4 linked regions of the Saccharomyces cerevisiae S288C genome follow. The gene in region 2 interacts genetically with the main gene of each other region. Each region holds a gene or a part of one and is shown on either strand. Other genes may lie near its edges.

The links.
Region 1: mutations in TRM9 (region 2) and COX8 together harm fitness more than expected from each alone (negative genetic interaction), as found in Saccharomyces cerevisiae (2 studies listed by BioGRID).
Region 3: mutations in TRM9 (region 2) and HAP5 together harm fitness more than expected from each alone (negative genetic interaction), as found in Saccharomyces cerevisiae (2 studies listed by BioGRID).
Region 4: mutations in TRM9 (region 2) and PNT1 together harm fitness more than expected from each alone (negative genetic interaction), as found in Saccharomyces cerevisiae (2 studies listed by BioGRID).

The regions. Positions count from the first base shown.
Region 1 is NC_001144.5:904,015-911,833, reverse strand, and holds COX8 (cytochrome c oxidase subunit VIII), read left to right. Parts: upstream 1-1,868; coding exon 1,869-2,105; downstream 2,106-7,819. Other genes in the region: tethering complex ATP-binding subunit VPS33, read left to right, coding at 1-1,599; SUMO ligase CST9, read right to left, coding at 2,436-3,884; ATP10 (Atp10p), read right to left, coding at 3,916-4,755; ART10 (Art10p), read left to right, coding at 5,529-7,085; CCW14 (Ccw14p), read right to left, coding at 7,394-7,819. UniProt on the Saccharomyces cerevisiae protein: Component of the cytochrome c oxidase, the last enzyme in the mitochondrial electron transport chain which drives oxidative phosphorylation.
Region 2 is NC_001145.3:236,145-244,564, forward strand, and holds TRM9 (tRNA (carboxymethyluridine(34)-5-O)-methyltransferase), read left to right. Parts: upstream 1-7,080; coding exon 7,081-7,920; downstream 7,921-8,420. Other genes in the region: PSP2 (Psp2p), read left to right, coding at 444-447, 810-2,587; PPZ1 (salt homeostasis regulator), read right to left, coding at 3,314-5,392; TATA-binding protein-associated factor TAF11, read right to left, coding at 5,845-6,885; UBX2 (Ubx2p), read left to right, coding at 8,005-8,420. UniProt on the Saccharomyces cerevisiae protein: Required for the methylation of the wobble bases at position 34 in tRNA. Appears to have a role in stress-response.
Region 3 is NC_001147.6:1,005,233-1,013,390, forward strand, and holds HAP5 (Hap5p), read left to right. Parts: upstream 1-4,928; coding exon 4,929-5,657; downstream 5,658-8,158. Other genes in the region: GDS1 (Gds1p), read left to right, coding at 1-1,473; CIR2 (electron-transferring-flavoprotein dehydrogenase), read left to right, coding at 1,989-3,884; SNX3 (Snx3p), read right to left, coding at 3,992-4,480; VTS1 (Vts1p), read left to right, coding at 5,957-7,528; 3',5'-cyclic-nucleotide phosphodiesterase PDE2, read right to left, coding at 8,009-8,158. UniProt on the Saccharomyces cerevisiae protein: Acts a component of the CCAT-binding factor, which is a transcriptional activator and binds to the upstream activation site (UAS2) of the CYC1 gene and other genes involved in mitochondrial electron transport and activates their expression.
Region 4 is NC_001147.6:818,850-826,924, forward strand, and holds PNT1 (Pnt1p), read left to right. Parts: upstream 1-2,173; coding exon 2,174-3,445; downstream 3,446-8,075. Other genes in the region: DSE3 (Dse3p), read left to right, coding at 17-1,309; RBL2 (Rbl2p), read left to right, coding at 1,605-1,925; putative serine/threonine protein kinase HRK1, read right to left, coding at 3,739-6,018; YOR268C (uncharacterized protein), read right to left, coding at 6,685-7,083; PAC1 (Pac1p), read left to right, coding at 7,536-8,075. UniProt on the Saccharomyces cerevisiae protein: Probably involved in mitochondrial export. Confers resistance to the anti-pneumocystis carinii drug pentamidine. May act by the removal of pentamidine, or its damage targets, from the matrix by an active-transport mechanism.

The sequences.
Region 1 (7,819 bases), on a different chromosome or scaffold from region 2:
GAATATACCCTTTACCCTTGGGATCTCTTGCCCTTCCCACAGATTGATGAAAATGTTCTATTGACTCATTCCCTTTATAACATGGAAAATGTAAACATGTATTATCCCAACTTACGTTCTTTGCAGAGTGCCACAGAGTCAATACTGGTTGATGATATGGTCAATTCGTTGCAGAGCTTGATTTTTGAAACTAATAGTATCATAACAAATGTTGTGTCGATAGGTAATCTGTCTAAGAGATGTAGCCATCTTTTGAAGAAACGAATCGATGAGCATCAAACAGAGAATGATTTATTCATCAAGGGTACGCTTTATGGTGAACGAACCAACTGTGGACTAGAAATGGACTTGATTATCTTGGAAAGGAATACCGATCCTATAACGCCATTGTTGACACAACTTACGTATGCAGGAATACTAGATGATCTATATGAATTCAATTCTGGCATAAAGATAAAGGAGAAAGACATGAACTTCAATTATAAGGAAGATAAAATATGGAATGATTTGAAATTTTTAAATTTTGGGTCGATTGGGCCGCAGTTAAATAAATTGGCAAAGGAACTACAAACGCAATATGATACAAGGCATAAAGCCGAGAGCGTACATGAAATCAAAGAATTCGTTGATTCCTTAGGTTCTTTGCAACAAAGGCAAGCTTTTTTGAAAAATCACACAACCTTATCATCCGACGTTTTGAAAGTGGTAGAGACTGAAGAGTACGGATCTTTCAATAAAATCTTAGAGTTAGAGCTGGAAATTTTGATGGGAAATACACTTAATAACGACATTGAAGATATTATACTCGAGTTGCAGTACCAGTACGAGGTTGATCAAAAGAAGATTCTCAGATTAATCTGTTTATTGTCTCTTTGTAAAAATTCACTTCGAGAAAAGGATTATGAATATCTAAGAACCTTTATGATCGACTCTTGGGGCATTGAAAAATGCTTTCAACTTGAATCATTGGCTGAGTTAGGATTTTTCACTAGCAAAACGGGAAAAACTGATTTGCATATTACAACAAGTAAGTCAACAAGATTACAGAAAGAATACCGTTATATTTCACAATGGTTCAATACAGTACCCATAGAAGACGAGCATGCTGCCGATAAAATCACAAATGAGAACGATGACTTCTCGGAAGCCACTTTTGCTTACAGTGGTGTAGTGCCCTTGACAATGAGACTGGTTCAGATGTTATATGATAGGTCTATCTTGTTCCATAATTATTCCTCGCAGCAGCCTTTTATACTGTCAAGAGAACCTAGAGTTTCTCAAACGGAGGATTTAATTGAACAGTTATATGGAGACTCACATGCGATCGAAGAGAGTATATGGGTCCCGGGAACCATTACAAAAAAGATCAATGCAAGCATCAAGAGCAATAATAGACGGTCCATAGACGGATCTAATGGGACATTTCATGCTGCAGAGGATATTGCACTCGTAGTATTCCTCGGAGGTGTAACAATGGGTGAAATAGCTATAATGAAGCATTTGCAAAAAATACTAGGTAAAAAAGGTATCAATAAAAGGTTTATCATCATCGCCGATGGCTTGATCAATGGCACAAGGATCATGAACTCTATATCTTAATTATTATATGATAGATTTGTTAATTTTTTGTATATGCAAATGTGCTTTTTTTCACCAAACGGTTTGCACCAATCATACGAGAGAAGTGTTCGGTGTTTACGGAAAAGCTAGGGGACTAAGAAAAATTGAAAATAAAGGCTGACAGCAGTAGAAACCATTGTGCTGGCTTAGTGATTTATAAGAATGGTTAATTAGTTTTGTATCCTTTAATTTTCTAGATAGAGCCACAGAGCAAACTAAACAGAAAAGTTATCCATTTCCATTACGCAATGTTGTGCCAACAGATGATTAGAACGACAGCTAAGAGAAGTAGCAATATCATGACCAGACCTATTATCATGAAGAGGTCAGTACACTTCAAAGACGGTGTGTATGAAAATATCCCATTCAAAGTCAAAGGAAGAAAGACACCTTACGCCTTATCTCATTTCGGGTTCTTCGCTATTGGATTTGCTGTTCCATTTGTTGCCTGCTATGTTCAATTGAAAAAGTCAGGTGCTTTTTAAAACACCCCCATAAGTTTGAAGGATAGATGTGTGTACATAGCGTGCTTGGTTGAGACGTTTTAGAGTGTGTTCTTTGCTATTCCTAGGTGCGCATATCATCGTTTTATTTATTTGTACAATTTTCTTTTCATATATTCATAATCCTCTCCTTGTGCCTTCGTATTGAGACGGCGGGAAAGAAGGATCTAAGAAGAACATAATTCGACAAATTTCTTCTAAAATAATACCATATATAGTAACACATAAGAAAATAGAATAACTTTTATAATACAGTAACATACTCTATCTATTCTGAAGGCTGTTTTCGTCACGGGGAATCCTTACACCTATTTACCTAATCCTTCTAAACTTATTGTTTTTCTTGCTACTACCCAACACAGTATTACTTGAGCGAGGTGGCAGATGATTATCACTCTTCAAATGTGTATTAGTCAGTTGCTGAGTTGAATTGGACCGCTTTAGTATATTTGATTTCGGCAGTTTACTTTGTTGCAATGAGTTCGATGAAGATGAAAAGGCAAGACCACTGCTTCTTACGTGTGAGCTCAAGTTGTGTGTTATTCTATTCGAACCGCTGATAGTATTATTTCTCTTCCTTGTTATTTTTAATTTTTCTAAAGCTGAGGGAAACTGCGTCGAGGTACTTGTTAAAGGTGTATTTGAATGATGCAATTCTTTGAGGTTACTATTTGGTAAAATAAGCCTATTTGATGATGAAGATAGAGGCGAAGAGGGTTGGAGAGAAGCTGAAGATAATCTTGATATATTTTTGGAAGATACAGAGCCATTATTCGTGAGGATGTCAAGATTTGGCAACTTTCCATCGAAGCCTTTTGCAACACGCACAGGAGAGAACGAAAATCTGTTCAGATTGGTTGATTCTGCAATAGTCGAAATATTAGGTAGATTACTATTTGCGTTTGGGTTCATTCCAGGAGGAGGAATGCTATTTCTATTAGGATTATTCAATGTCTCCATAAAGAGAGGCTGGTTTTTATTTACACGACCACTTGTAGAGGGAGTGACAGTTCCATTGTTATTTTTTGAAGAATTTCTCAAAGAAGAGTTTTTTTTCAACTTTTTAATAAAGGATTTGGCTTCGAATTCTTCTAAACTATTATCATCAACTGTCAGATCAACGGTTGGAGGGGGCTGGTAATGATTTTGATGGCTATTTCTTGTTGGTAGCACACCAACTGACATCGAAGAAACATTGTTATGATTCAAAACTGACTCTAATTCCTGTATTCTTTTCTTAAGAATCGCCATAGAATCCAACTCTATTTTGGCCTGATATAGCAGCTGCTGTTGTCTTGCACATTTTTCTCTCAACTTTAAACAATGATTTTGATAGTATTGACACTGTTTCGAAAGCCCATTCAGTTGGAATTGGGAAACATTATATAACGACTCCAAAAGTGGGGGCAGTGGCTCAAAAAAAATCCTAATGTCGGTAGGCAGCTGTTTAGATTCCACAAGGTTAATGATGGAGATATCGCTCGAACGGCATATAGGACACACCTTTGATGTTAATGGAGAATGCTGCGAACAGAGGATATGAGCACATGAGGTCAGCCTCAATGGATCTCCATGCGATGTTCTTCTGTGGCAAACACCACAGTAAACAAAGGGCTGTTCAAAAATAGAATCCGGCATTATATATTTCTTTGGTGATATCAATGATAAACGTCTTACCTGTTTCAAGCACTTTTGTTTTTTCTCTCTCATGCTCTTCGTGTTAGTTTGGGGAATGAACACGATCGCCAAATAGCCGCCCATCCCTTGTTGGCCGCCGCACAAAGCGTCAACTTCACAGACGTTTGGCAAACTTCCACAATGCTTCCTTTTCAGATGGAGTAGCCTCCCCGCAAGCTGCCCACCTAATTTTTAACTGCTGGTCCACAAGAAAGACGTATCCAGAAAAGACATTATTGCAAAAGAGCTCTTCCCTGACGGAAAATGGCCATTGGCCTCTAGAACATTCGAAATAAAATGGCTGGCGCCAGGATGGAACGCGATTGGCCCAACGAGCAAGCGTTTTCACTAGAGCACTTTTCACAGCGTTTTCTACAAGATTGACCTCGATGATTTGGACGTTACTGTCATTTAAACTTAAACGCGCATCAGCTTCAGTCAAGTAGTCAGTTTTTTTGTTATCGTCTACGATTCCTTGGAAGTATGAACTACTCAACTTATCGCCAGATGCTGTACTAAATAACCTCACTATACTGGTTTTACCCCTTAACATATCCTCGATATTCTGTTGTTTCGTACCATCCATTGCCGTTCCTATCAAATGAGGAAAAAACAAAGCTTTATCTTCTTTCCAATATGAAACTGGAGCTATAAACAATTTCCCCTTTGTCTTTTGGAAGACTTGCACGTCATAAAGTCCAGATTTGCTGAATTCAACGGCCAACTCTTTAACTCTGTGGTTTGTCTTTTCCGAATCAAACATATCCCTCAAAGAGTTCCCCTGGGAGTATTTGGTGCTTTTCCTTGGTGCTTGTGTTAAGCCTATTGGCTTGACCAGTTGTTTGATCTGGTATTCCTTTGGGGAAGCCGTTGCCATCATAGGCTTGAGGAATTTATCCAAGAAGGACATCCGCGTAAGCGTGGGATGGTAAAACCTTTTAAAAGTGCCCTGCATAGTTAGTTTAAGTTACTCTGATATCGCAAATAAACAAATAACCTGACTTTTACTATATGCTGAAATAGTCCTTTTTAAATATGCACTCTTCCATATTTTTCTGAAGGCGAATCAAATAAATGGTAATAAAAATTTAAATTTCAAAAACGATTTCTAGGCAAGGATATTGTGCGTAAGGAACAAAACAAACGTTTATAGTAGTTTTTATATAGCTGCATAGTGATGTGGCGAGAACTATTAAATATTTCTTACTTCGAAGTTTTATGTACATCGCCTCTGCCTTGCCTTTACACTTTTTAAATTCTTGATTCTGCTCTAGTACAATCTTCACCACTGTTACAAGATCAGGCGTCTCTTTACTAATACCAAGAAGAGGGTGAGATACATGATATTTTATTAAACTGATATTGCCTTGGGTCGGCTGTAATGCAATTAGTCAGGTGGAATCTAATATCACCTAGGGCCTTGGTGAAAATTCTCAGCAAAATGCGGGTTGAGGGTGAGAGAGGGTCCTGGGGAAGGTGCACGCCCTTTTCACAAGAGGTGCGTAAGAGAGAAACAAGCCTTCGACTCTACAGCCCTTCTAACACCGCCACTCAATCAATTAAAAGCAGTCGCACCCATCCAAAAGTAGAATTACATAAACTAGAGGAGAAAAAGCAGCCAGTACAAAGGAGAATTACTTCATTGACCAACGGATATTCTGTGAGTGTTTATATTTAAGATTCTGCTTTTGATTAGAGAAGGTTGAGAACCATACAGTTTGTCAAACCATGGCTCCAAAAATTTCAATATCCTTAAACCCACCGTACAACGGGGAGTTTTATAGCTCTAATGATCAAATGTCAGGGATAGTTAGTCTTCAGTTAACAAAAGCGCTATCTATAAGGAAAATTTCCGTCATTCTAAAAGGATTCTCAGAGACCTTAACAAAAATTGATCAAGAGTACATGTTTCAACAGAATGGCATGATGATGCCGGGCCAAGACAACAAATCCTTTCATACATTAATGAAATTCGAACAGAGAGTTTTCCCTCCAGATAATGTATGGAATGCTCTTGATGGCTCCTCCAAGCCGTTCAAAGTTAAACCAGGTTCATATAATTATAGCTTTCAATTTGACAAGTTTCCCAGAAAGCCTGAATGTCTGAAAAATCATACGGCAAAGACAGTAGCGTTTGTGACAAGAAGTAATGCCCGACTCCCACCTACGTTCAATAGTCATTGGCAAGAATTTAATAAAATCGATAATCTGGATTTGTATTTTTACTCTTTTGGAAAAGTTATATATATGGTGCAAGTTCAATTAGAGCTAGGGAAATCTTCATCTTGGTTTAAGCCATTCCATAAACTGATAAGGGAAATCGAGACGTTCGAATTTATACCTGAGCCAAAAGATCTTATTATAGAACCTGATGAAGATGACAATGAAGAACTTAATGCCTTCAGTAACAATAGTAGAGGAAATAGTATGGTCACCAACAATGAATTTTTCAATAGTTCAAATTTAAAGGTGCCATCAAAGGACGTCAAAGTCGTTAATGGAGTCGGATATATAAAAAGTGACAGGAACTTTTCTCAAGCTAATTCTATATTGATAGAAAACGGCGACATTAGATCGAGACCGGTATCATCAGTCACATCAACAAGACAATCTACTCGCCTAGTAAATGGTATGAAAGTTTTCCCATCTACTTATAAAATGGGGTTGCCTGATGGGGAAAGCAATATGAGAATAGAGGTTAGAAGTCGAGATTTGAAGCAAATATACAGGAAAGACTACTTGTTTAGGTCTGGCAGCCAAAATTTTGACAAGGTCTATGTAGTCATGGAGGGGAATATAGCAAGTTTGAGCAAAATGCAAATTACCCCACTTAAACTACAACTGAACTTGCTAGAGACTACAACATATTTATCTCAGGGAATAGCGAACGGCAATTACTCTTCTTTGAAGCTAATCGAGATTGATTTGAATCAGCTCAAATCCAATAAACCTCTTTTGGACTTAAACGAAATACGAGAAAATTTTGATGGTTCTATGTTTGAATGTGAATTACGGTTAAAGGATCACCCCATTTTAAGAAAGTTGGTATTTAATGAAGAAGACTATAGACATCGCGGCAATAGGTTGTATAGTTTCAAGACATGCACGATAAAAAGAACATTCAGTTTACAGCTACTGATAGAATGGGGAATCAATGGAATTAGGAAGCAATCTGAAGTAAACATTGATCCTGTTCAGATCTTTTGTCAAGTTAGAGAGCACGTTGAAGCTGAAGCTCTGCCCAGATATGTACCGCCACCGACATATACTGAAATGGCGAGTTAAGCGTCGCCAAAAATATTCTGCAAACATATATATTCATGCACATGTGTAACAATGTAAAAAACTTTGAAATGAAAAGAACAAGGAGCTGATCGAAAAAATATTTTTTTGATTTTCATTTAATATAGATTTATATACTTTTATTTGCTCTTTAAGAGAAAAGAAGTCGTAGTGAACTGGAACATAACGAAATAAAGAGGAGTTTTAAAATGTTTTTTGAAGAAATAAAATCATCCGCATCATATAAGAAGAGGAAATAAGAAATATAAAAGATAGATACCTTAACCCATTAGAAATAAAGTGATAGATAATTAGATTAACATAGCGGCAACAGCAGCAATGAAAACGGATTTTCCTGCCTCTAGAACATTACCAGAACCTTCAGAGAAAGTAGAAATAACGGCGGTAGAAGTTGGTAGAGCAGAGGAGACTGTTTCTTGGGACACGGTCGAAGAGGCAGCACTGGAAGAGTGAGCCTCGCTAGTGGAGGAAGCTTGCTTGCTCGAAGAGACATAAGTGGAAGAGGATTCTTCACTGGAAGGAGCCTTGGTGGAAGAAGAAGAGGAAGAAGAGGATTCGGTGGAAGAAGCCTTGCTAGAAGATGGGGCAGCGCTGCTGGAAGAAGCTTTAGTAGAGGAGGAAGCGCTACTGGAAGAAGCCTTGGTAGAGGAGGAAGCGCTACTGGAAGAAGCCTTGGTAGAAGAAGAGGCCTTGCTGGATGAAGAAGCGGATGAGGA
Region 2 (8,420 bases):
GAGTTGCAAGAAATAGAAAAGACTCCGATTGCGCATCGCCAGAATAAAATTTCACAACCACACTTTTTGGCTGAACTTTTTATTACCTGATTAAACAGAGAGAGAAAAGGTAGAGGTCAAAATTTTTTAAGCAAAACTAAAAAAGATGCAAAATCACGTGCTGAAAATCTAACATAAGGGTTAAGATTAGAGTTTTATAGGACTTGTTTTGTAATATTTCAAATACGAGCTAACCCTACTGATTTCAATTAGGTCTAATTTAGGGTTGAGCTGCACTGAAATTTCGGAAATTTTGGGTTATTTTAAATGAGACAGAAGAACTACAGAGATACGTTCTTCAGACTTTAAAGCTTATCTCCACAAAGAATTGGTCAAGAAATCATCCTAGAAAAACACGTTTGCTCACTCGATCTTAATCACATAGAGTGCTGGAACGGGAAGAAATGGGTATGTGCCTCGGTTTTTCTCATTAACCCCTTTTGATCCATAACGGTCCTCTTTTGTTTCCTTTTTTTTTTTTGTTTTAGTATTTTATGTTTACTATTTTCTTCTGTTTCAGTCATACGTAGGAATTATTGCATGAAAGAGGATATAATATTCATGTGGATTTTTAAGAAAATAGATCAAGTTTAAATAGCCACTAACAATTGAACAATGCTCTCTCTTGGCCTCTTTTCTTCTTTTTTATCGTTTCTCTAAAAATCAAGCTGATTAGACATGGTCTTGCAATGTTTTTGCTTTCTCTAATCAGCTTGGTTTTCCGCAAAGAAGAGAAAGTCACGGAATTGTCTACATATGTTTCTATTCAGGAACAAATAATACATCTAATAATAATGGCACTACGAAGAAAATGTCCCTAGAAGAATTTCTAGGGAACGACACTTTAGGCGAGTCAGTATGGGATGAGGAAGATATTAATTTGGATGCTATAAGCAATACTACGAATATTGACATCTTGAAACAAACCAAGGCAGGCGAACATCAACGTGATGGTCACCAACAGCACCCACACGGTGGTCATGGACCCATGAACAGATCACGTTTTTCTAATGCAGGGCCTTTTGGTGGTGGTAGCATGGGGGACTTTGCAAATCATCACCACCCGCTGCAGCATCAGCAAGGTCCTCCTTATATTGTGAAGTTTTCTGATTTACCACCGAGATTTTCCAACTTTGACATTGAAGATCTTTTTCAAGCAAAGTTTACCAAGTTTATTAAGTTCAAACTGTTTTGGGAGATAAATAAAAATCCAAGTATTTCTACTTTGAAATCGGGGTCAATCTTTGATCAAAATTTCAAACGTGACTCGAAGGTAGCATTTGTCGAGTTATATACATCCCGTGATATGGACAAAATTTTGAACTATTGGACCACTCCTTTGAAGGAAATTTACCACATTACAACAGCGCCCGCAGAATTCGAAGATTTTAAGGATTACAGCACGAAGGTGAAATTATTAACAGACCCTAAAGACGATGCTGGCAAACCATTCATTACTAAGACTCAGCGGTCAAAATCCAATCCTTTTGGAAGTGCTAAACCGGTTGATACGCAATCGAAGATTTTGGACATTGAAGAAAAAATGGAAAATTTACACGTGGAAGATACAACAACCCTGAGGGCATCATTAATCCCTAGTAGTGATTCTATGGCAACCACTGCAACAGGCAGCAAGATCACAATCTTGAAAAAGCAGACACCTACAGAGGAGGAATCACATTCTGCAACCCCAACTCCCAAACCTTTAAGTTACTCTGAAGTAGTTGAGAGATCTGTGGTCAATGAAACTTCCAAGAAAGGAACTCCATTAAGCAAGCTTGACTCACCAGCTCTTGAACTACAATCTAAGCCCGATAAATCGGACGAGTTCAAAGGTGGCGATGAACAAGGCTTTGAGAAAGGTGGCGACGATAAAGCTCAATTAGATGTCTCAAATGATAAAGATAAAGGTTCAGAAACCGATGTTGATAAACAGTTCACTTTCAAGAATGTGGAAAGGGAACATAGTATGAGCAGAACCAAATATAACGGAAACCATAATAACAATAATGGCAATTTTAGAGGGAGTAATAGATATCGTGGAGGCCCCAATGGCAGCAGTTATAAAGGTGGGCATAACAATCGTGGTAATCGCGGCGGATATCGTGGTGGCAGCTCATACAACAACAACAACAACAACACTAATGATAATAATAATAATAATAATAATAGTAGTAGTAATAATAATAACGGTTCAAGATATCATGATCGACAAAACAATGAAGAAGGGTTAACCTCGGATTCATCTTTAGATGCCTCAGGAAATAAAAAGAATGATTTCACGAACTCAACATCCAATACACAACAATATTCCATTTTCAAACCAGCAAGTGGGTTCCTTGGCCAAGGTAATAATGATTCTATAAGGAACAATGGACGCGGTAACTATAACAGCAGCGGTATGAATGGAGGTTCGAGAGGAAGAGGATTTGGCAGAGGAAGGGGATTTGGCAGAGGCGCATATAACAATCGAGGTAGTCGTGGTGGACGTGGAAGCAGCGGTAACTACTCCAACTACAATAACAGAACAACAGACATGCCTTTATGAGTCATGTACTGACCCATTAATTTTCTTTTCTCTTTTTTTTTTTTTTTTTTTTTTTTCCTCTATTTCCTTTTTTTGTTCTAGTCGGTTACGCAGTTCTGAGTAATGTAATATAGCGTTCCTTTTCCTCTCAGATTTTTTTGACCTTATTTTGTTTCCACTTTTTACTACTTATGCTGCTTTTTGTCCATTTCCCCTTCAGTTGTTTTGAATTTTTTTTTTAAAAAAAATTCGTCTTTCTGATTAATCAATTTTGATTATATATTTTCTCTTGATTAGTTCACAATTTTTATAGGCCCTTATTTCTTAAAGAAGTTTTATGAAGTTTCGTAAGTATTGGGGGGGTTGAAAATAATCTCTCACGTTATACGCAATAAAAAATTAAAATTAAGGAGAACCAATCTATAGAAACGAACCATTGAATTTAGCTATATGACTATATACCATTACGTAATTTATATAAACAGCTTAATATAGCGAAAGCAAAGTAGAACGAAATTTCGGAGAGTTCTAGATTGTATAGAGCGAATGAGCATTCAATACACACGCGAAGGCAGTAGGCGATGAAAGGAAGTTTTTTAATGTCATTAAGAAAAAGATAGGGAACTTCTATTTCCTGTCTTTCATATATATATATATATATATATATATATATATGTGCATATGTACATCGTTGAGTTGTTCATGAAATAATGAATATAATACTTCTGGATTTTTTAGTCAGTAAATTTACTGTTGAGATTCGTTATCATTTGTGATGCTTGTTTCCATCATTTGCTGTTGTTGATTAGCCAGTTTTCTTTCCTGTCTACCTTTCTTCATAACTTGCTTCAAAGCTGCACTATCTAGTGGATCTAACAATTCAAAAGAGCACAATAAACCTTCGCTGACGCTCATTACAGCCCCCCAATTATCAAATTCACCACAATAATTTGGCGCGGAAAACACCGTAACGAGACTTCTATCATTGAAAAATTCATAACCGTCTTCCACAACCATGTGAGCTCTACAAACCAAATCAAACCCAAACTTGTTCAAGAATTTGTTAATTGCCACCTTATTATAACAGTAACTTACACCACGTTCGTTATCCTCCCATTCGTTGGGTGAATCTGTGGGATCGGACCACAAAAGATCATTAATTAAGCCAAAATCTGGTACATCAGTAGGCCTAACTACATGTCTGATTTCATCCATAGAATTTAAAACTGGCGACAATCCACCATGAACACAAAAAATCTTTCCGGCTACGATAGCAGCTAATGGTAATGTATTAAAAGTATCGATGAATGTCTTCCAGATCTTGATGTTACAACGACGTTTACATTCATCATAAAATCCATAAACCCTTGTGACGTTAGCACATTCATGGTTGCCTCTCAATAAAAAGAAATTTTCAGGGTATTTTATTTTGTAACAAAACAATAGTAAAATAGTCTCCAGTGACTGTTTACCACGGTCCACATAATCACCTAGGAATAAATAGTTCGAGGATGGTGGGAACCCACATTTGGTAAAAAGCCTTAAGAGATCCCCATATTGGCCATGAACGTCGCCTACAATTTTTACAGGAGGTGATAATTCTAATAAGGAAGGTTGAGAAAGAAAGATTTCACGAGCCTTGATGCAAATCTGTAAAATTTCATTGTTCTTCAAACAAACATTTTTTGTTCTCTTAGCAGCGTAGCCCGCATCCAGTAATTTTTGGATAGTTTCATCAATATCGATAGGCTTTTTGAATTTTTTTGGAGCGTTTTTGTTTCCGGAAGATTGCATTATATCATTAAATTCCTCATTCGGATCTTTTTTGCTATCTGTTATATTATTATTTTTATCATTAACATTTTCCATTGATGCATGGATATTACTCAATTGAGATGAATTTTCAATGTCATCATCATTGCTGATGTGTTTGCTCGGGTAAATATCGCGACTTGAATGGTGATTCAATGAGGAGGTTGAATTAGAGGTAAAGTATTCACCAGAGTGATCTGTTAGCTTGGACAAGCCTGGAGAGTTTAATGGGGTGCTGTATGCGGTATTACCATCTGATCCAAACGAAGATTTCCTACTGTGTAGCGAAGATGCATGAGAATTTGACCGGGTTAATGCCTGAACGAGATAATTCTCCTGATTGTTAGAGGAGTATGATCCATTGTTAGGCTCTTCATGGGTCACATCTGATTTCCTTCTTGACACTGATCCGCTTCTTATACTGGACGGACGAGAATTCGAAGATCTAGAAAACCTTTTAGTGTGCGAGATGTCGTTGTCTTTATCATCATTGTCATCATCGGTTAAGGCGTTCTCATAATAGGTAGATGAGTATGAAGATTTATGCTTGGATACGTGTGTGCTACTATTGTTTGTTTTTAAAATGGGTGACTTGGGTTCCATTTGGATCATTGAAGGTGGTAAATCAGCAGCAGCCTTAGTATTATAACTTGATCTTCTAGAAGTAGAAGGCCTCTTAGTAGAGGATGATGAAGGAGTAGTTAACAATTCGTTTTGAGAATTTGAATGCGAGTGTGAGCTAGATGGGAAATGGTAACGATTCGTGTGAGAGCTATGTCGTTGGTGATTAACCTCAAGATTGGGCTTTGATGGAGTGGAGGGATCAGGGACGTTTGAATTAGTATTCGTAGTGGACGAAGAAGGAAGAGATCGCCTTGATCTTGAAGATTTATTTGATTTTGCAGACTTCACAGAATGGGAAGTCTCGGTTCTCGACACTTGAGGACGAGGATTTCTCGAGGAGGAATTCGAATGTGAATCCTTTTTCGAAGATTTTGAACTTGAATTACCCATTTTGAAAAGGAAGGAAAGATAAGCAGAGAGTGGTTGATTTGTTGTTTTATGACAAAGCCTCTAGGGGAAAAGAAGCGACTATAACGATGAAATAAAAATAAAACGATAAAGAAAAGTATAATCAAATGTATTCCAAAGAAGTACTTTTATATATAATCTTTATATTTAACTTGAAAGAAAAAGATTTAACATGTATTGCCAAAACAAACAAAACTAATAATGGAAGCTATTGTATTGTGCTTTTATGTTACCCACCTGCCAATGGTTCACAAGAGAAAGCTGATTAACAGAATTAGAAGATCTGCAGTAATCGTTTTCTTTTTTTTTTTTTCATTAATTTATATGCTATCCTTTTAAAAATAGACATGTCATTTCAAACGACATGTTAAAAATTATATATATGTTTATATATAGATTGATATATGTTGGAGCCGTTGGACAATTATGGGCAGCTATCTGAACATGGATCCCTGCCCTTCTCCTTGAGTTCTCCAGTAAGCGTTAGGCAAAGTGTCCGACTGCAGACGGTAGAGTCTCCACGCCTCACGGATGTGTTCGGGCAATAAGGGACTGTTGTTATATTTCTCGATGCTTACATCTAGTTTGTTGAATTGGAGGACGAGCTTATTGTACTGCTCGATGAGTTGTAGCTTCAAGTCCTGTGAATTATGGTCTGATTGCTGTAAGGATTTGGACTGTAGCAACGAGTTGCCCAGCGTAGTTTCGCGCTTGTCTACTTCTTCATCGTCGAAGTAGAAATCAGGTTCGTCTTCGGGAACGCTATCGGATTGATAATCTTGCTTGTATTGCTGGTTTTCTATGATGGAGAAAGTCAATTTTTTTAGATATTTTTTCAATTTATAGCCTATTTTGGTCCTCTTATCAAACTCTATGCACATTTGACTTGTCAACCACTTATTCTTCACAATCATGGCCAATTCGATTATCTCACCAGCGTATATTTTTCCCACCGCTTGCAGAAAAACACGAATATTTTCACTTATAGTTTGATTAGCTACTGTGCTAGCCAGTTTTTTGACCTGGGTTTTGTTTAGGGATGTTCTATGGAAAACTTCAAACCGATTAGTTTGATCTTTATCCAAGTTGGTTACCAAGAGCTTGAATTGTTCGTCCTGCGCAAGTTTTTCATTTTCATCTTCGTTGGTATTGGTGTCTTCGTAATTGCTATTTTGTGTTTGCTGTTGTAAAATGTCTTGTGGAAAGATCAGGTTTTCTGGGACTTTGTTGATAGAGTCCGGGTCTTGCTGATTTATCCTGGTTTTCTGGTATTTGTATTTTGGATATTTATTTAATTGGTTGTTGATTGATGTACCACCCGTTCGCAGGTTTTGCAATTTCCACGTAACGTAGTCCTGGTCCTCACTGATGACTTGGTCAATCATTTGTTTTGTGGAAAAATAGTTTGCTATTGTCAGTATTGGCGGATAGTTCACTTTCGGGATGGTGTCCAAAGGACCTTGAGGTTCGGTCATCGTTGCGCTGTTGAAGCTCAAACTTACTTTGTGCTCTTCATTTATATGGATAATTATCTCTATATACCTCTTCTTGATTTTTCAATTTCTTTCAACTTTTCAGTCGAAGAAATGGGAATAAGAGAAAAAATTCGGTAATGAACTGAACAGAGATGAGGTCTCGAAGAGCCAAGAAATAAAAGGTTAAGAACCAACATGGAGATAAACCAAGCGGCTGAAAAAGAACAGGAGTATGTTCACAAAGTGTATAATGAGATAGCTCCGCATTTCTCGCAAACTAGATATAAGCCATGGCCCATAGTGACTCAGTTCTTGAAGACTCGCCCAATGGGTTCCATCGGTATCGACGTCGGGTGTGGCAATGGAAAGTACCTCGGAGTGAACCCTGATATATATATTATCGGTTCAGATCGCTCAGATGGTCTTATTGAGTGCGCCAGAGGAATAAACCCATCGTACAACTTACTGGTGGCAGACGGGCTGAACTTACCACACAAAAACGAAACATTTGACTTCGCCATCTCAATTGCTGTAGTGCATCACTGGTCTACAAGGGAGAGACGTGTTGAGGTGATCAGGCACGTTCTATCGAAGCTACGTCAGGGCGGACAAGCATTAATATATTGTTGGGCTCTAGAACAGGGCAGCTCCCGTAGAGGTTACCATGAAGGTATGGAGCAAGATGTCTTTGTCCCCTGGGTTCTTCCCAAGAGTAAATCCAAACCAAAAACTAAATCAACGCCGCCTGCTAAAGTCAAGACAAGGCCAAAGCCAAACTTAATGAATATTCCCCCAAAGGAGCGTTCCGAATACTTGCAGCGCTGGAAGGAGGAACAGCAACGCAGTAAGTCTCTTGATGATAACGACGAGAAGCAACAACAAGATCAAGAACAGGAAAGAGAAGAGGTAAAATACCGATACTATCACTTATACCGAGAGGGCGAATTGGCTGAGGATTGCCGCCAAGCTGGGGCTGCCGTTCATAGTGAGGGCTTCGAGCGCGACAATTGGTGGGTGGTGGCCCAGAAGAGATGAAGGTGATATATAGGTAGACAGTGTATTTTGTAGCAGCAGGTATTACGATAGAAGTATGTAATAGCTTTCATAGTGTAATCGAAGATGCCAGTAGTCAATCATGAGGATAGTGAATTTCACCTTTCGCACACAGAAGAGGACAAGTTAAATGAGTTCCAGGTCATCACGAATTTCCCCCCAGAAGACTTGCCAGATGTGGTGAGACTGTTGAGGAACCATGGTTGGCAGTTAGAACCAGCATTGAGCCGATATTTCGATGGAGAGTGGAAAGGCGAACCAGACCAGATGGGAGAGCCCACTCAAACGTCTACACCCATGGCTGAGACCTTGGTTCCTCCCGCGTTGGGACCTAGACCGTTGTTATTTACAGCCTCACTGCCCGTGGTCAGACCATTGCCAGCGAACTTCCGCAATGATTTCAGAACAATTGGGCTAAATGGACGCTCTAACACTGTGTGGTCCATGTTTGAATCTTTTAGTTATGATGGTAACCCCTTTCT
Region 3 (8,158 bases), on a different chromosome or scaffold from region 2:
GGATTTACAACTAGAGCTGACACTATTTCGAATCCAGGCACGGATCTTATCGGCAACCAGCCAGGCATGGCCCTTGATGATAATAATTTGGCCGGTTCTTCGTTTTCCTCATCTCAGGAAATAAAAGCTACCAAACCTAAGAAGGACTTTGGTGCTCCCAAAAAAGACAATCCATTATTAGAAATTTCTAAGCTAATACCTGTTACTGGTGAGAGGCCAAAACCCGAAAATAGAGACTCCCCTCTGGATGATGACGTTCTTCACGCAGTTTTTTTAATATTATGGGAAATGGATCCGAATCAACAAGGCATGACCGTCAAACAACTGTGTGACTTGCTTTTGCAAAAACATCCAGATATGTCCAATTTATCAACCAAGTTGTCAAATTTAATTTCCGCAAAACTGAACGCTTATGTTAAAAAAATTGAAAAAGGTGAGAAAACGTTAACTTATGCTTTATCAAGGGAATGGTCTAATTCATCTCCTAGAAGGATGCTCTATATATACAGAGGCATATTATCTCCCGATTACAAGGAGCATGCTCAAGCTGTTACGATGCAACTTAAACAACAATTGGAGACCTCCGGTGATACAAGCGACTTTAATTCAAATGGCAAGAAAAAAAGGGAGTCCAGCAGTAACCAGCTAGTTAACAATGACAGTTATTCAAGTTCTATGACGGACATGAAAAATATGTCTTCTAACAGTTCCTTCTCAAAAAATTTGAATGTAGGGAATCTGGCCTTTTCATTAAGTCCAGAATTCAACATACCTTATTCCACTTCTCCAGTGTCACTAAATCTTTCCCCATCGATGAGTAATAATCAGCAACAATTACTGACACCTAATTCGGCATCGAAGAGTAAAAACAATAATAAAAAAAGAAATTACATGGATGAAGATACTAACGAGTCAATGACCGAGCCAAAGAAAACCAAAACTACTAAACCTGGCAAACAAACAAAATCCCAATCTTTATCAGTTTTATCCACCCCCAAAAAGGGTTCCTCTGCATCTCTTTCTACATTTGCAAGCTCCAAGAATATTTCGCCAGATTCTTCTCTGTCGCATAATGCATCGTCAAATACTTATGTTACTGCCGCTGCCGCTGCACCAAGGCTTTCTAAGCTTTTGCCGAAAAATGGGTTTAAGAAAAATTCACGTAGCTCTTCTGAACTGGCTGCTATCCATAAAGTAATCTCTACACAGACTCCAATTGAGAGCTCTTCAGAGAGCTCTCAATATAACAGTAGTAGTAGTTCACCAGTTAATAGTGCAGCTGCTTCTTCTGCTGAATCTTTATCCGACATCAATTCCAGTCAGGATAACGGAAGAGAATCAAACCCAAGTTCCCAAGAATCACGAAACGAAGTTACGAATTGGATGAAAATTGTGAGAAATGGATTTTTGACACATGATATTGAATCTCCTGAATCAATCACATTAGATGACCTAGAAAATATATTCAATTGATTTTTATCTCCCTTTACAAGAGCATAACGGCTGCTCTACACCTATGTCGTTGTTTTTTTTTATCAACTAATAATATGTGTTCCTCTCATTTGGACAATTTTTAGCTAGTTCTAACTTTCACTACAATATTTAAATAAATAAACAACCATAAATAAATAAATGAAAAACAACTAAACCGTTAGAGGTGGACTAATTTACTGTTAATGACAGTAATTTTTTTTTTTTTGGCTGTTTTCGGTTATTCCGGATATATATGGATTGATCTTCATTTACCCCACAGTTAGTTTATCCGAAATTTGCGGGAAGCTTTATTTTTTGTTACCAATGGATCGCGATTTGCCATGACTGTAGAAAAGAAAAGGTTAACTGAAAAATTCAACTTTTTCAAGCGGACTGAGTAGTAGTGGTCCCCACTTAATTAATTTATTCAATACGTTATATACTTACTGTTACTTCAGGCCACATAAAAGAACAAACTTAAGCTAGACAGGAAAATCCACTCTGGGAAAGGGAAAATGATTAAGTTCACTAACGAGAACTTAATTAGAGGGATCCGAATGACGATTTCCGCAAAATCTCGTCATTTGGCTCTAGGGACAGATATGACGAGAAAGTTTAGCTTGTCGTGTAGGTTTTTGAACAAAGCAAATCTTACTGAAGAAGAGAAAGAGTTGTTAAATGAACCAAGGGCGCGCGACTATGTGGATGTTTGTATAGTTGGAGGAGGGCCTGCGGGATTAGCAACAGCAATCAAATTAAAACAGTTAGACAATTCGTCAGGAACAGGCCAATTGCGTGTCGTTGTTCTTGAAAAATCCAGTGTATTGGGTGGACAAACTGTTTCCGGCGCTATATTGGAACCGGGAGTGTGGAAAGAACTATTCCCTGATGAAAAGTCTGACATTGGCATTCCGTTACCAAAGGAGTTAGCTACGTTGGTAACTAAAGAACATTTGAAATTTTTAAAGGGGAAATGGGCGATCAGCGTTCCAGAACCATCTCAAATGATCAATAAAGGACGTAATTATATTGTCTCTTTGAACCAAGTCGTCGGATATTTAGGAGAAAAGGCAGAAGAAGTAGGAGTTGAAGTTTACCCCGGAATAGCTGTCTCGGATCTCATATATGATGAAAACAACGCCGTTAAGGGTGTAATTACTAAAGATGCTGGTATTTCGAAGTCCGGTAAGCCTAAGGAAACCTTCGAACGTGGGATGGAATTTTGGGCTAGACAAACTGTATTAGCAGAGGGCTGTCATGGTTCCTTAACAAAACAAGCCTTGGCAAAATATGATTTAAGAAAAGGCAGACAGCACCAAACTTATGGATTAGGTATTAAAGAAGTTTGGGAAGTCAAGCCGGAGAATTTTAACAAGGGATTTGCAGCTCATACCATGGGGTACCCGTTGACAAATGATGTTTATGGCGGTGGTTTCCAGTACCATTTTGGTGATGGGCTGGTCACTGTGGGCCTTGTCGTGGGGTTAGATTATAAGAATCCCTATGTTTCACCTTACAAAGAGTTTCAAAAGATGAAACATCATCCATACTATTCAAAAGTTTTAGAAGGAGGTAAGTGTATCGCTTATGCTGCAAGAGCATTGAATGAAGGTGGACTGCAATCTGTACCCAAGTTGAATTTCCCTGGTGGTGTTTTGGTAGGGGCTAGCGCGGGTTTCATGAACGTTCCAAAGATCAAGGGTACTCATACTGCGATGAAGAGTGGATTACTTGCCGCTGAAAGTATCTTTGAGTCCATAAAAGGGTTACCTGTCTTAGAAGAGGTTGAAGACGAAGACGCCAAAATGGCTATGTTTGATAAGGAGGCAACTATTAACTTGGAATCATATGAAAGTGCATTCAAAGAATCATCGATATATAAGGAACTATACGAAGTGCGTAATATTAGACCGTCCTTCAGCGGGAAACTTGGTGGATATGGTGGTATGATCTACTCTGGAATCGATTCTTTGATATTGAAGGGAAAAGTTCCGTGGACACTGAAATTTGATGAAAAAAATGACGGTGAAATTTTGGAACCTGCTTCCAAGTACAAACCGATAGAATACCCCAAGCCTGATGGTGTGATATCCTTTGATATATTGACCTCCGTGTCTAGAACCGGAACCTACCATGATGATGATGAACCATGTCACTTGAGGGTTCCTGGACAAGATATGGTAAAGTACGCCGAGAGAAGCTTTCCCGTTTGGAAAGGTGTTGAATCGAGGTTCTGCCCAGCAGGTGTCTACGAATTCGTCAAAGATGAAAAATCGCCTGTGGGTACGAGACTGCAAATCAATTCACAAAATTGTATCCATTGCAAGACCTGTGATATTAAGGCGCCCAGACAAGATATTACTTGGAAAGTACCCGAAGGTGGAGATGGACCAAAGTACACGCTAACTTAATCACAGGATTCATTATTTATTTAATTATTTTATTCATTATTTATTTAAATTTTTCTATTCATTCTTTTATATAATCTATATTATTTATTCACGTAAAAGAGTTCTTTTCAGCCGACAAACTTTTCAGCTTCAATGAACCTCACGAGAACTTTAGAACCAGATTGTAAAAGCGGGTGCCCGGCTACCGATTGCATCCAGGTATTCAAACCTTGTCTCCTCTCTTCAATGACTTCGTTACTAAATCTATTACTCAAGAGAATTTTACCCGGTAAATGAGGTACCATGACTTTTGGGTGATTAAGCATAGAAATTTCCTTGATCAAGCATTTGCGGAAGAATTCAAAGTCTGAGTATCGTCTCCTTACTTTCGATACCCTCTTGTGAAAACTTGGCAAGTTTGTACGGCATATTATTTCGTAATCTGTAAACATCCCCTTCGAATCCATCCCATTTGGTATATGAGTTTTAGGGTTGTGCACCTCAATCTCTAAAAAGTTCTCAGGCTCAGCGTATATTTCGCTGTAACTAGGCTCTCCATGTCCTTTTGACAGCAAAGACTTTTCTGTAGACCCAAAGGATTTGAATTCTCTTGGCATACTTTGTGTAGATGCGTACCGCTTCTCAGCTGTTCTTGCCGTCCTCTTTTATGCAGTATTAAGATCCGTTTTAATCCATTCATTCATTGCAGGTTTACATATCAATACATATCACTTAGTACGTGATAGTGCCCAAAGCTATCCTCGAGTTCACTTATGCAATTCTGAGCACCCCATAGCCAAGTCCTCATAGTAAATCATGGTCCCTCCTAGCGCAATACTTACTAGAGTGTAGAAATCCCGAAATGTCAAAATCGAAGAGTGTTGTGCTCCCTTTTCCGTAGTTAAACTTAAATTTGCGTGGGACGGCTCCCTTAAGATTGCTTCCGGAGATTAAGCTTCCTTAGCTGCTATAATACCGCGTAAGCAAAGAAGAAGAATAGAGGGGAATAGGAGATAATGTAAGAGTTGTGACGCATTTGCAGCATCAGGATTGTTTACTCGCATAATGACTGATAGGAATTTCTCACCACAACAAGGACAAGGACCTCAAGAATCGCTCCCGGAGGGACCGCAACCCAGTACGATGATTCAGAGAGAGGAAATGAATATGCCAAGGCAATATTCAGAACAGCAACAACTGCAAGAAAACGAAGGGGAAGGGGAAAATACGAGGCTACCTGTTTCTGAGGAAGAGTTCCGGATGGTACAGGAGTTGCAAGCTATCCAGGCGGGCCATGACCAAGCTAATCTACCGCCAAGTGGTCGAGGATCGCTTGAAGGCGAAGATAATGGAAACAGCGACGGCGCAGACGGAGAAATGGACGAGGACGATGAAGAGTATGATGTGTTTAGGAACGTTGGTCAGGGATTGGTGGGCCACTACAAGGAGATAATGATCCGTTATTGGCAAGAATTAATCAACGAGATCGAGTCTACGAATGAACCTGGTTCCGAGCATCAAGATGACTTCAAATCACATTCCTTACCATTTGCGAGAATCCGCAAGGTCATGAAGACGGATGAAGATGTCAAGATGATTAGTGCAGAGGCCCCCATCATTTTCGCCAAAGCCTGTGAGATCTTTATTACAGAACTGACTATGAGAGCTTGGTGCGTGGCAGAAAGGAATAAAAGACGAACTTTGCAGAAGGCAGATATCGCAGAGGCCCTGCAAAAGAGTGACATGTTTGACTTTCTCATCGATGTTGTGCCTAGAAGACCTCTTCCACAATGAGAGAGTTAATGGTTATACAGCTGCCATTTGACCGTGCACCACAGCAAATTATCTGTTGGAAAAAGAAAAAACGCAAATTTTTTTCATTATTTTTTTCCAGAATAAGTTTGGTAGCAAATTGGCGATGAGATATCTAACAACGACTACTACTACTACCATAGGATTGTCTCGAATACATTGTGTTTTGCAGTCACACTGGTACTTCGTCCCTTGGGCAATCTAGATCACTGTATATACTATAGATATTGTTTTCAGAAGAGAAAAACTGTTCATATAAAGTAATTGTCAGCAAAGAAATCATGAAACATCCGTATGAGGAATTCCCCACAGGTTCCAAGTCACCATATAACATGTCTAGAGGAGCTCATCCAGGCGCCGTTTTGCTATCACCACAATCTTCTGCCATAAACAAGAACAATCCGGGCAGCAATTCTGGCAATAACCAGGGCAATTCATCCGTGACCGCGAATGTTTTGTCCCCTCAATCCCATAGTATGTCACTCAATGACATGCTTGATCAGCAATCCTTTATGCTAGACACTGCGGGAACCAGGGCTCAGCCGCTCCAGCAACAACAGCAGCAGCAACAACAGCAACAGCAGGCGTCGTTGCCTTCCCTTAATATTCAAACAGTTTCGTCTACAGCAGCTGGTTCTGCTATCGTTTCCCCCATGATGCAATCTCCAAAGGCGTTGCAATCTACTTTATCTTCAACATCTATGTATTTGGATTCATTTCAGAGATCTCCAAATAATATTTTGGGTATTCCATCGCAGAGTGGTTCAATTCCTTTGCCGCAATCCCGTCAATCGCAACAACAGTCTCAATCCCAAAAAAACGATCCGAACATGGGCACCAATTTCAGCCAAGACATCAACCAATTATGTTCTTGGATATCCATGCTGAACAGCAGCCAACAAAATACTGTAATGGACAATATCCTTTCCATTTTGAATGATGATGTTTTGAAATATACTAAGTTAAAAATAGAGACTTTGACAAACACTCCCTTCATCTCCCCACCGCTACCTGCAATTGCATCACCTATACCTAATAGGGATGACACACAAATTTTGAATATTGATTCAGTCTTTTCTTCAAGTCCTATAACTAATGACCCTGAAAATACCGATAACTTGTTGTATCAAAATTGGTCCCCTCAGCCACATTCAATACCAATTAGCCAACCCATATATGACAACATCACCGACGCTAGTCAAAGGTCCAAGTCGGCTGAGCCTCATGTTAATTCAAGCCCAAATCTCATTCCTGTCCAGAAACAATTCAACAACGGTAACAGTACCAAATATAAAAAGTTGCCATCAGAGAATCCCAACTATCTTTCTCACTCTCTCTCAAGTTCCCATTCTTTTTTCCAACCAAAGAAAAGGTCTAACATGGGAAATGAGTACAATTCTCATCACCATCATTCATTGCATCATCCTCTGCATAATACCACCTCATATTTTTCGAATACTTCAAGACCATCAGGAACTGATTTGAATAAGTCCAACCAGAACGTGTTCAATAATACCATTACGCATCCTAATGCTGGTCCTACAAGTGCCACATCGACATCTACATCATCTAACGGAAACACTCCTTTATCGAGTAACTCTTCGATGAATCCAAAGAGTTTGACAGACCCCAAGCTACTAAAAAATATACCCATGTGGTTAAAATCGTTAAGACTACACAAGTATTCAGATGCCTTAAGCGGAACCCCGTGGATCGAATTGATTTACTTAGATGACGAGACTTTAGAAAAAAAAGGCGTTCTTGCCTTGGGTGCAAGGAGAAAATTGTTGAAGGCTTTTGGAATCGTTATTGATTACAAAGAACGTGATTTAATTGATAGATCTGCTTATTAAATCTGGCATAATAAAGTTGATTGTCTTGACGTTGCATAAAGATTTAATTTTTATTTACTTTGCATATACCAACACAGGGAACATATTTCATTTATTTTGTAATTTTAACGTTTTCTTTTATGGAGTTTAATATTTTAGATTACACCTGTTTTTGCACCGTTTAATGGCATAAAACTATTTACTTAACTTTTAACTCGGGAAATATGTATCACTATACTAAAAAACATTAATTTAATCAAAGAAAAATAAATTTAATGTATGTATCTATATATATATATATATATCACTTAAAACAGACAATAGCCATAATCAACTGGGTTATTATTATACAATATTAAAGGAAGAACGCATATTTGAAAAAAAAATAAAATGGGTAATGAATTTTAGCACAAATACTTCACAAAAGGAAATATACTAGTAGTAAATGTATATATTTATATGTTTATACAATGAATGGTACAAGAAATTTTGATATTCTTGCTATTGTGGTTTCTTGTGTTTCATCCAGTATTCTTTATTGATTTTGACATTATCGCTTAAAAATTTTAATCCTGAGAATTTTTGACTTAATGCGTTGAAAAATACTTCAGCAAACGTATTAATGAAAAATATTTGACCGTTTGGAATATG
Region 4 (8,075 bases), on a different chromosome or scaffold from region 2:
ACAGAATAACTTAGTAATGCCAAGAAAGTTTTTGGGCAATAAAATTGAAAAGAATGTTGATGCAGTCAGACCATCTTCGCTAACATTAACAGCTGATGACTTGAAGTATATTCCACCGATACCACAAGATTTTGAAGATGAAGATGATAAGGTTTTACGTACCAGCAACGGTGGTAACAGGTTGTCTAAAAGATTTGGGGGTACACTGAAACTGAAGAAACGGTTAGAGTCTGTTCCAGAATTGTTCTTACATGATTTCAAGAAGAGGCCACGCTCCCAACTTGAGGTGATTAGAGAGAAAAAATTTACTGACATGCAAGTTCCCAAGGGACCAGTTTGTCCTCAAAGCACGATTCTACCATTACGAGAAAGAAAGAAGGTAAAATCACTACCAATTCAAAGAAAAAGTTTACGTAGGCCGACGCTGTCAAAGCCTGCAGTAGTACAATCTTTAGGGCATAAGACACATTCGGATCATATTATTGATAAAGTGTTTGTCTCTCGCCCGGCCCCAATTGTAATGCCTGTAAAAGCCCTTACTCCTATTAATCCGGTCTCCCTAATGCAAACACAGACACAAGATTGCTGTAGAAAAAATAAGTATGGCAAAAGCGGTAGTGAAATATTGTTTGACGAAATTCTATCAGCCTATGAAAACGTTTCTACAAGCGATTCTACTGCCCTAAATTCAGAAATTGACAGAATTATCGATATATGCGCTTCAAAACAAATAGCTAAAAAAAATGAGGCATTTCAGGTACCATATGTCGTCTGCCCTGACGACACAGAGACTTTGTTTTCGTCAACAACACCAAAGTTGAAACCTGTCAATTCTAACACATTAAACGATGTCATTTCTAGCCCAGAATACACCACGTCTGGATGCAGTACATACTCTGACCAATCGAATTCAGATGAGGAATTGTCCGAAGTAGAAAGTATAGTATGGAACACGAATAAGAGGACAATGAGATCATCCATTGTGTCTGAAAGCACTAGTGAGGAAGGCTATTGCACTGCTGCGGAGACTTTGCCCTCAACAGTATCAGTGGAAGATCTGGATATACATAACAAGCTTCCAAAAGTTGCACAAACATCATCGTGCAATACGCTTTTGAATAAACTCTCTATAAGAAAATTAAAAAAAGTAATTCTCGATCCGCCTAAAATAATGCATGTCATGACTTTTGACGATGACAGTGATGATGGAGATGACAACGATGACGAGGATAGGGCTTTGAATATTCTTCAAAAAAAAATTGACTGCATTGAAATAGCAAGTTGCAGCAGTAGCATTTACAGCGAATAAAAAAATTTATTCTAGGTTTCAAGTAAAATCATACGTATATAAGTAGAATAATGGCATGAGCGGTGACACATTGTGTATTTGCACCAGAGGTGGTCATCAATAGAAAAGTGTCACAATTTCAACGATAAATGGCCGCTTATGTCGCACCTTTTGTAGTATTACCCGCAAAGGATCATAATGAAGAACTACTATGGCTACATATAAACAGAGCAGTTAGATACAGTGCGTCTTATAAGGGCATTTTTGAGCATAAAGCACAACAGGTTGAACTCAAGAAAACTACATTTCACTATCAATGGCACCCACACAATTGGATATAAAAGTCAAGGCCTTGAAGAGGCTGACTAAGGAGGAAGGGTACTACCAACAAGAACTGAAAGATCAGGAAGCACATGTGGCAAAACTTAAAGAAGACAAGTCAGTTGACCCATATGACTTGAAGAAACAGGAGGAGGTCCTTGATGACACAAAAAGATTATTACCTACTTTATATGAGAAGATTAGAGAATTTAAAGAGGATTTAGAACAATTTCTAAAAACTTACCAGGGTACCGAAGATGTCAGTGATGCAAGATCCGCTATTACGTCTGCACAGGAATTACTCGATTCTAAATAATCTATAGATAACCTTTTTCTTACCTTTTCGCATTTATTTTGATGCAGGTTTTTATACTTTATTATGTACAAACCTGTTGCGGATGAATAATAAATCTCGCTAGAAAATGCACGGAATATTATATGCAAAAGTAGAAAAGTGGAAGACGGCTGTTGATACAGTGACGAGATATAAGAACATTTTACTCTATATTTAAAAAGAACTTTATTAATCTATTTAATTGAGTTAACACCTTTAATGCCATCGATATGGATTCTCGAGTTGCACTGGTACGAAAATACATAGCACCATCGGTGATAAAAAGCGATTCTATTCAATTGCACGGTTTAGTGAAGGCACCACTATTTAAAGCGTTGAATAGCCGTTACAAATTAGGTTCACTACAGATAGTACAGGATGTCGATTGGAATGCGAAGACAACACCATCCGATTCTCCAGAGCCTCTGGCCGCTACTCTAAACTCTAATCGATCCCTACCAATGACTAAGTTCCCCAAGCAGGAGATCTTGGAACAGGTAAAATTGGATACTAAGGTTGGCAAATGGAGGAAATTCATGACAGGTTGGTTTAGAATTGGATTGTATCTTTTAAAAAGCTATAAAACAGGAATTCAGAACACGTTAAAAGTATTCTGGGATACTCGAAACGAAGAGCAGAAATTCAGCATAAAAAACGGTGCATTGGCTAACTTAGTACGGGAAATAGAAATGCATGAAATCAATACAAGACTATCGTCTTCATCATTGCCTACAAGTTCTTCAGCAAAAGCCCCATTAAGGCCACTTTCAATCAATAGGAAAACACTGGTGGAACTGATCAGACGAGATCAAATCTGGAAATTACCTGTATTTTTCACCTTAGTATTCATATTTGAGGAGGTAAGTGTATTGATCTTTACCTTTTTTCCACGTGTCTGTCCGTACAATTGTTTAACTCCTGGTGGATACAAGAAGCTTTCCAACTCATATATCAAGGGAACAACAAGCACACAAGGTAACTACGGTCTGGGTCCCTTAGAGTTTACTAAGCAAGGTACAATTAAGTATGAGCCACCATATGCAGTTCCTATTGAGAATTTGTATAATTTTCTGACAAGCTTTCCTCAAAGTATGATATCAAACTGGAAACTGTATATTTATAAAAAGTTAAAATTACAGAAGCTACTTTGCAATGAGATAGAAAAAATTTACCAGTATCTGTTTATCGATGACTGGTTGCTGTTGCAGAGTATACTCAACACTGATGTTGAGAAAACTAAAATCGCGCTAAGTGATAGAGAATTGGTTAACTGTATACTTGAAAGAAAACTTTATCACATGGGCGATGACTTGAATGAGATGGTTAATGACACGTTAGGGAAAGAAATCTTACTGAAAAGATTGTTTCTTTATTGGACATTAAGATATAATGACACTATATCCTTAAACGGAAAGCATACATTCAGTGAGAAATGGGGTGTCAACAATATATCATTGTTAAAATATAATTCAGAATTGGTAGCTACGAAAGATATTCAATAGATGTAAATATTCATGACATTATCTATGCTGTACATATTGTTTAAAACAAAAACTCTTTTAAACTTTTCTAATTGCAAATTCAAACAATAATTCAGTGATGTTTCTTGCTTTTGGAGCAAAGGGCAATGTTACTCTATATTGTATGTATAATATGATAGATACTCTTCCGTATATATAGTATATAGATTTTCGTCAAGCGTTTCAATTGGAAAGTGAAAGAAAAAAATAAGAAAAAATAGAAAATACAATTAAATTAATCGAAAAAAGAAGTGAAAATAATTGAGTAGTTCGTATTAAACCTTGTAGGTCTCTAAGTGAGCATTTTCCTCCCTAACCAATGTATGGTGATGGCCAGGCGCTCTAATAACTTTATTTTTTGAATCCATGGTACAGGCAGCAATGGCGGCAAACCATTCATCATTAAAAATATCATCTAAGGTTGCTCTTTTCTTTGGATCTACTTGCAGTATACGGGACATGATAGGTCTTGAAGCATGTGGTAGTAGACGTAATAGACGGTATGGGCCATGAATAATTTTTTTATGGTGAGGTCCTCTGTGCTGTTGACTCGATTTATTATCGGAAGCGATACTATGGGCCTTGTCTTGATTTTGATGCTGGTGATGATGGTGTTGTTGTTGTTGTTGTTGTTGTTGTTGTTGTTGTTGTTGTTGTTGTTGTTGTTGTTGTTGTGGATTGTTTTGGGGAACCATATCAGGGTTAGCGTTGGCAGCAGTGTTGACGTTAGTATCAACTTTAGCGTTACAATCCGATTCATTGCTGCAGTCATTGTTAGCATTACAATCCGTTTTGTCATTGCAGTCACTGTTAGCCTTGCAATCCACTCTGCCGTTAGAGTCACCATTAGCATCGCAATCAGCGTCGGCATCGGCATCTACTTTCTTTGGGTTAGCTGAAACTACCGTGCTTTTATTCTCATTTTTGCTTATTTTAATATCGATGGTACTTTCCTTGTCATTATCTGGCGTGCTTTCTTTATCATTATTGCTATCATCTTCTTTATTTTCTTCGGTTTCTTCTTCCACAATGTCTGGTTTGTTATCGCTTTTACCCTGTATAGATGCTGGAGTATTTGGAACTTGATTTTGAACTGTTTTCAAGTTTGATTCATGAGCTGGTTGTTGCTGATTGATGGCGGAACAGTCACTGTGATTCAAAAACCTTTGACGCTTTTCTTTTCTTTCCTTCAGTAACTCTTCGTGATGCCTGGCAGATTCAACATAGTCGTGTTCTATATCATCCGGCATACAATATAATCTAAAATTATCGTCAGAATCTCTAGGGGCTTTCCATGGAAACCTTTTAAGCACCATACAACAATATATGATCCCAATAGACCATATATCGACGCACTGAGGATCATAAGATTTGGTGGAGGTAATCACTTCCGGCGCTAAGTAAGGGTCACTACCCACGATTCCATGAGCCATCGTTACGCCATCTTCAAAAGGATATCTGAACACAACAGCACTACCAAAATCAATTAATTTCAAAATACCCTGGGAAGTCATGACACAATTATCCAATTTCAAATCTCTATGTGCCAATCCCATAGAATGTAAATATTTAACACCTTCAGTCAATTGCTTCAAGCAACAGTTGATCTCGCCACGAGACATCTTGCCTGTCATAACAACAGCAAAAAAATCAATCGGACAGTACTCCATAACTTCATAGTATTTATTTTGTTTAGAATCAGAGAAAACGTCAACAGTTTCGATAACATTTGGGTGATGTAAAGTCGAACCAATACAAAATTCTGCGGTGCACTTCTTGGCATATTCTTTCACACTCTCATTCGGTTTCCTTGGTCTGAATTCTTTGACGGCAAAAGTAGCACCATCAGTTGGTCTCACAAGAACTTTAACGGACCCACCGGCACCGGAACCCAATAACTTACCCAATTTCCCGTATTTTTGAGCCAGAATACAATCATCGTGATATATATTAATATTATTGGACAAAGATAGGATAGAATCGGTACTTGGCGGTATAGCAGACTGGGTATGAGCATAGTGGTCTGTAAAGCCATGAGGATGCTGGGCACGATAGTGATTATTTAAATTAACTGTAGAAGTTGATTTTGAAGGTGGGGGGGAATGGGTGCTATGTTTCTTGGAACGAAGTTGAGACATAGATAGTTTTTTATTTACAGAAGGTCTGAAAAACCTTTTCAATTCTGCCATGGAGTGGGTTTGTTTTGGAGAGGCGGGAGAAGTATAGTCATGGAGCCCATGAGAAATATTATGGTGGTGGTTTGTTTCATAGTTATTATTGTAGTTGTTTGTTGAGATACTGGTTGCATTAGAATGGCTATGGGTGTTGTTATTAAGGTTTGTTGTAGTATAATTTGTAGTGGTTGTGGTAGATTTCATGGAATCTGTAGATTTCTCGCTTCTTAGTGAGTCATTACTTTGTTTTCTACCAATGAAGTTTAAGAAAGATTTAGAACTTCTGATCAACTGTGGCGGGTTATTAGACGAATTTTCACGGTCATGATGATGGTCATTATGATGACCATGGAATGGGTTTCTCGACAATAGATTAGGCATCTTTATACGAGAAATAGTTCTACCGTATTATTATAATTATTAGTGTTATTATTTTTGTTTTCGATCAATTCTAGCGGAGCTACAATGTGGTAGTCAAACGCTGCTATTGTATTTAATTCCGGCTCGAGACCAGTCTGGAAAGTCGACGTATATCGTTACTACTATCCTTTTTTTATTATTCCTACTATTTCCTTATTGAAAAAGTGGAAAACTGTTAAATCTGGAAATTCTTCACGATTCTAGAAAAATAGGAGGTGAAGAAGATTTCTAAGCTTTTTGAAAAAAACGGGAAAAGGAAGAGGCCCAAAAAAGTGAAAAAAAACTGTGTGTGTGAAATGTAAACGAACTTTGCTCCCTCTAGGAAAAACTTCTTTAAGCGGTTGGGAACTGTCTTGGGCTTACTTGTTTGTAAACAGTTGTATGAATGATTCTATATGCTAATTCTCAGTTTGTCTCTCTTAAAGATTTGTCACTCTGAAATATATAGCCAAATAGAACTAGGCGAAGAAAAAGAAAAGGGGCGGCGACGACGTAGGGGTCAGGTAGAAGAGTTGGGCACTTATTGGCGATATAAAAGACAAAATACACTAATGCAAGAGTATGGTGAGCGAAAGGAAAATAAAGAAAGGCTACGTTATTGACGGATATATGAATCAAGACACAAGACTATTTTGTATAGTAAGCAGAACCGGCTTGTGTTTGTGATTCATGGATCAACGAGACGGTAGCGAATAAGCACCAACGGAAAAAAAGAAAACATACGCATACATGCACGTACAAGATAAAAAAAGCACAGGTGTGGTGGTAGTATTGGGATAACCAGGCACACGCTACTGCGAGATAGCAAAAGACCCTTCCCGTAAACCGCTCGGATAAACCGATTTTGTCCTTTAGCGTGACACGGATTATACGCGGGGATCCGGCGTCACAAGCCACGGCCCGTCCCGTCCGCGTGGTTTTTAATTCTGGCTCCGCGTAGTACATTTTGTAGCTTGCCTTTTTTCCGGCTTCTAGAAAACTGGAAAAACCATAAGAAAAAAATGGGAAGGGGAAAACAAAAACCATTCAGGTCTTGCGTGCCGAGAATTTTTTTTTTCTCTTTTTCGTTGTCAACTTTTGCAGTAGCAGCCGCTGGCGACCCGGACGGTAGCCATGGCAACGGTTAGCTAATGGTAGGTAAATAAAACGAGTAACGACGTTTTAGTATATCTTGGTAAACTACAATTAGATCTTAAAACGGTTCCTGAAAAAGTGCTTTCATCTACCATTGAATTTAATTCACTTCCCTTTATGGAATTTGCACTGGTTTTGTGCTGTGGGATGTGGGTGTTTTGAAATATTTTCAGCTTGCAAGTCGTGCATATTGCACTTGTTTCTTATTTTTGGCGAGTGTAAACGTAATAGGTAATCTTAGTATTGGGCCATCGTCGCCCAGATAGCCATTGATAAAGCAGCTAGGTTCGTCGTCCGGTTGTTGGTATACACCTGTGCGTGCGTAAGTGTAGAAAAAAATAGAAATGACTAACTGGCAGCAACAGCTTCCTTTAACAGATACACAGAAAAATGAACTCGATAAAAGTGTCCTCCGATATTTGAATTGGAATTACAAACAAACTGTACGACATGAGCATGCTCAAGATTACGAAAGTGTTCGACATGCAATTGTAACTCTATCAGGTTTTCTGTTGCAAGAATCAGTGGACCGGCAAGAATTCATCAGTAACAATGACACCAGTAACGAAAGTATGGTAGACATTGATGAATTACTGCTACCGAAGAAGTGGAACTCAATTGTTAGACTACAAAAAAAAATCATTGAATTGGAGCAGAATACAGAGACCCTTGTATCTCAGATTAAAGATTTGAACACTCAAGTGTCAGAACTAGCACAATTCAAACCTACCACCAGTAACGGCACCAGCGCACATAATGTTTTGAAATGGATACCGAGAAATCTACCAAGCTGTTTAATTAATGTTGAATCATCTGTCACTTCCGTCAAACTACATCCCAATTTGCCTATAGTGTTTGTGGCCACAGATCATGGCAAATTATAC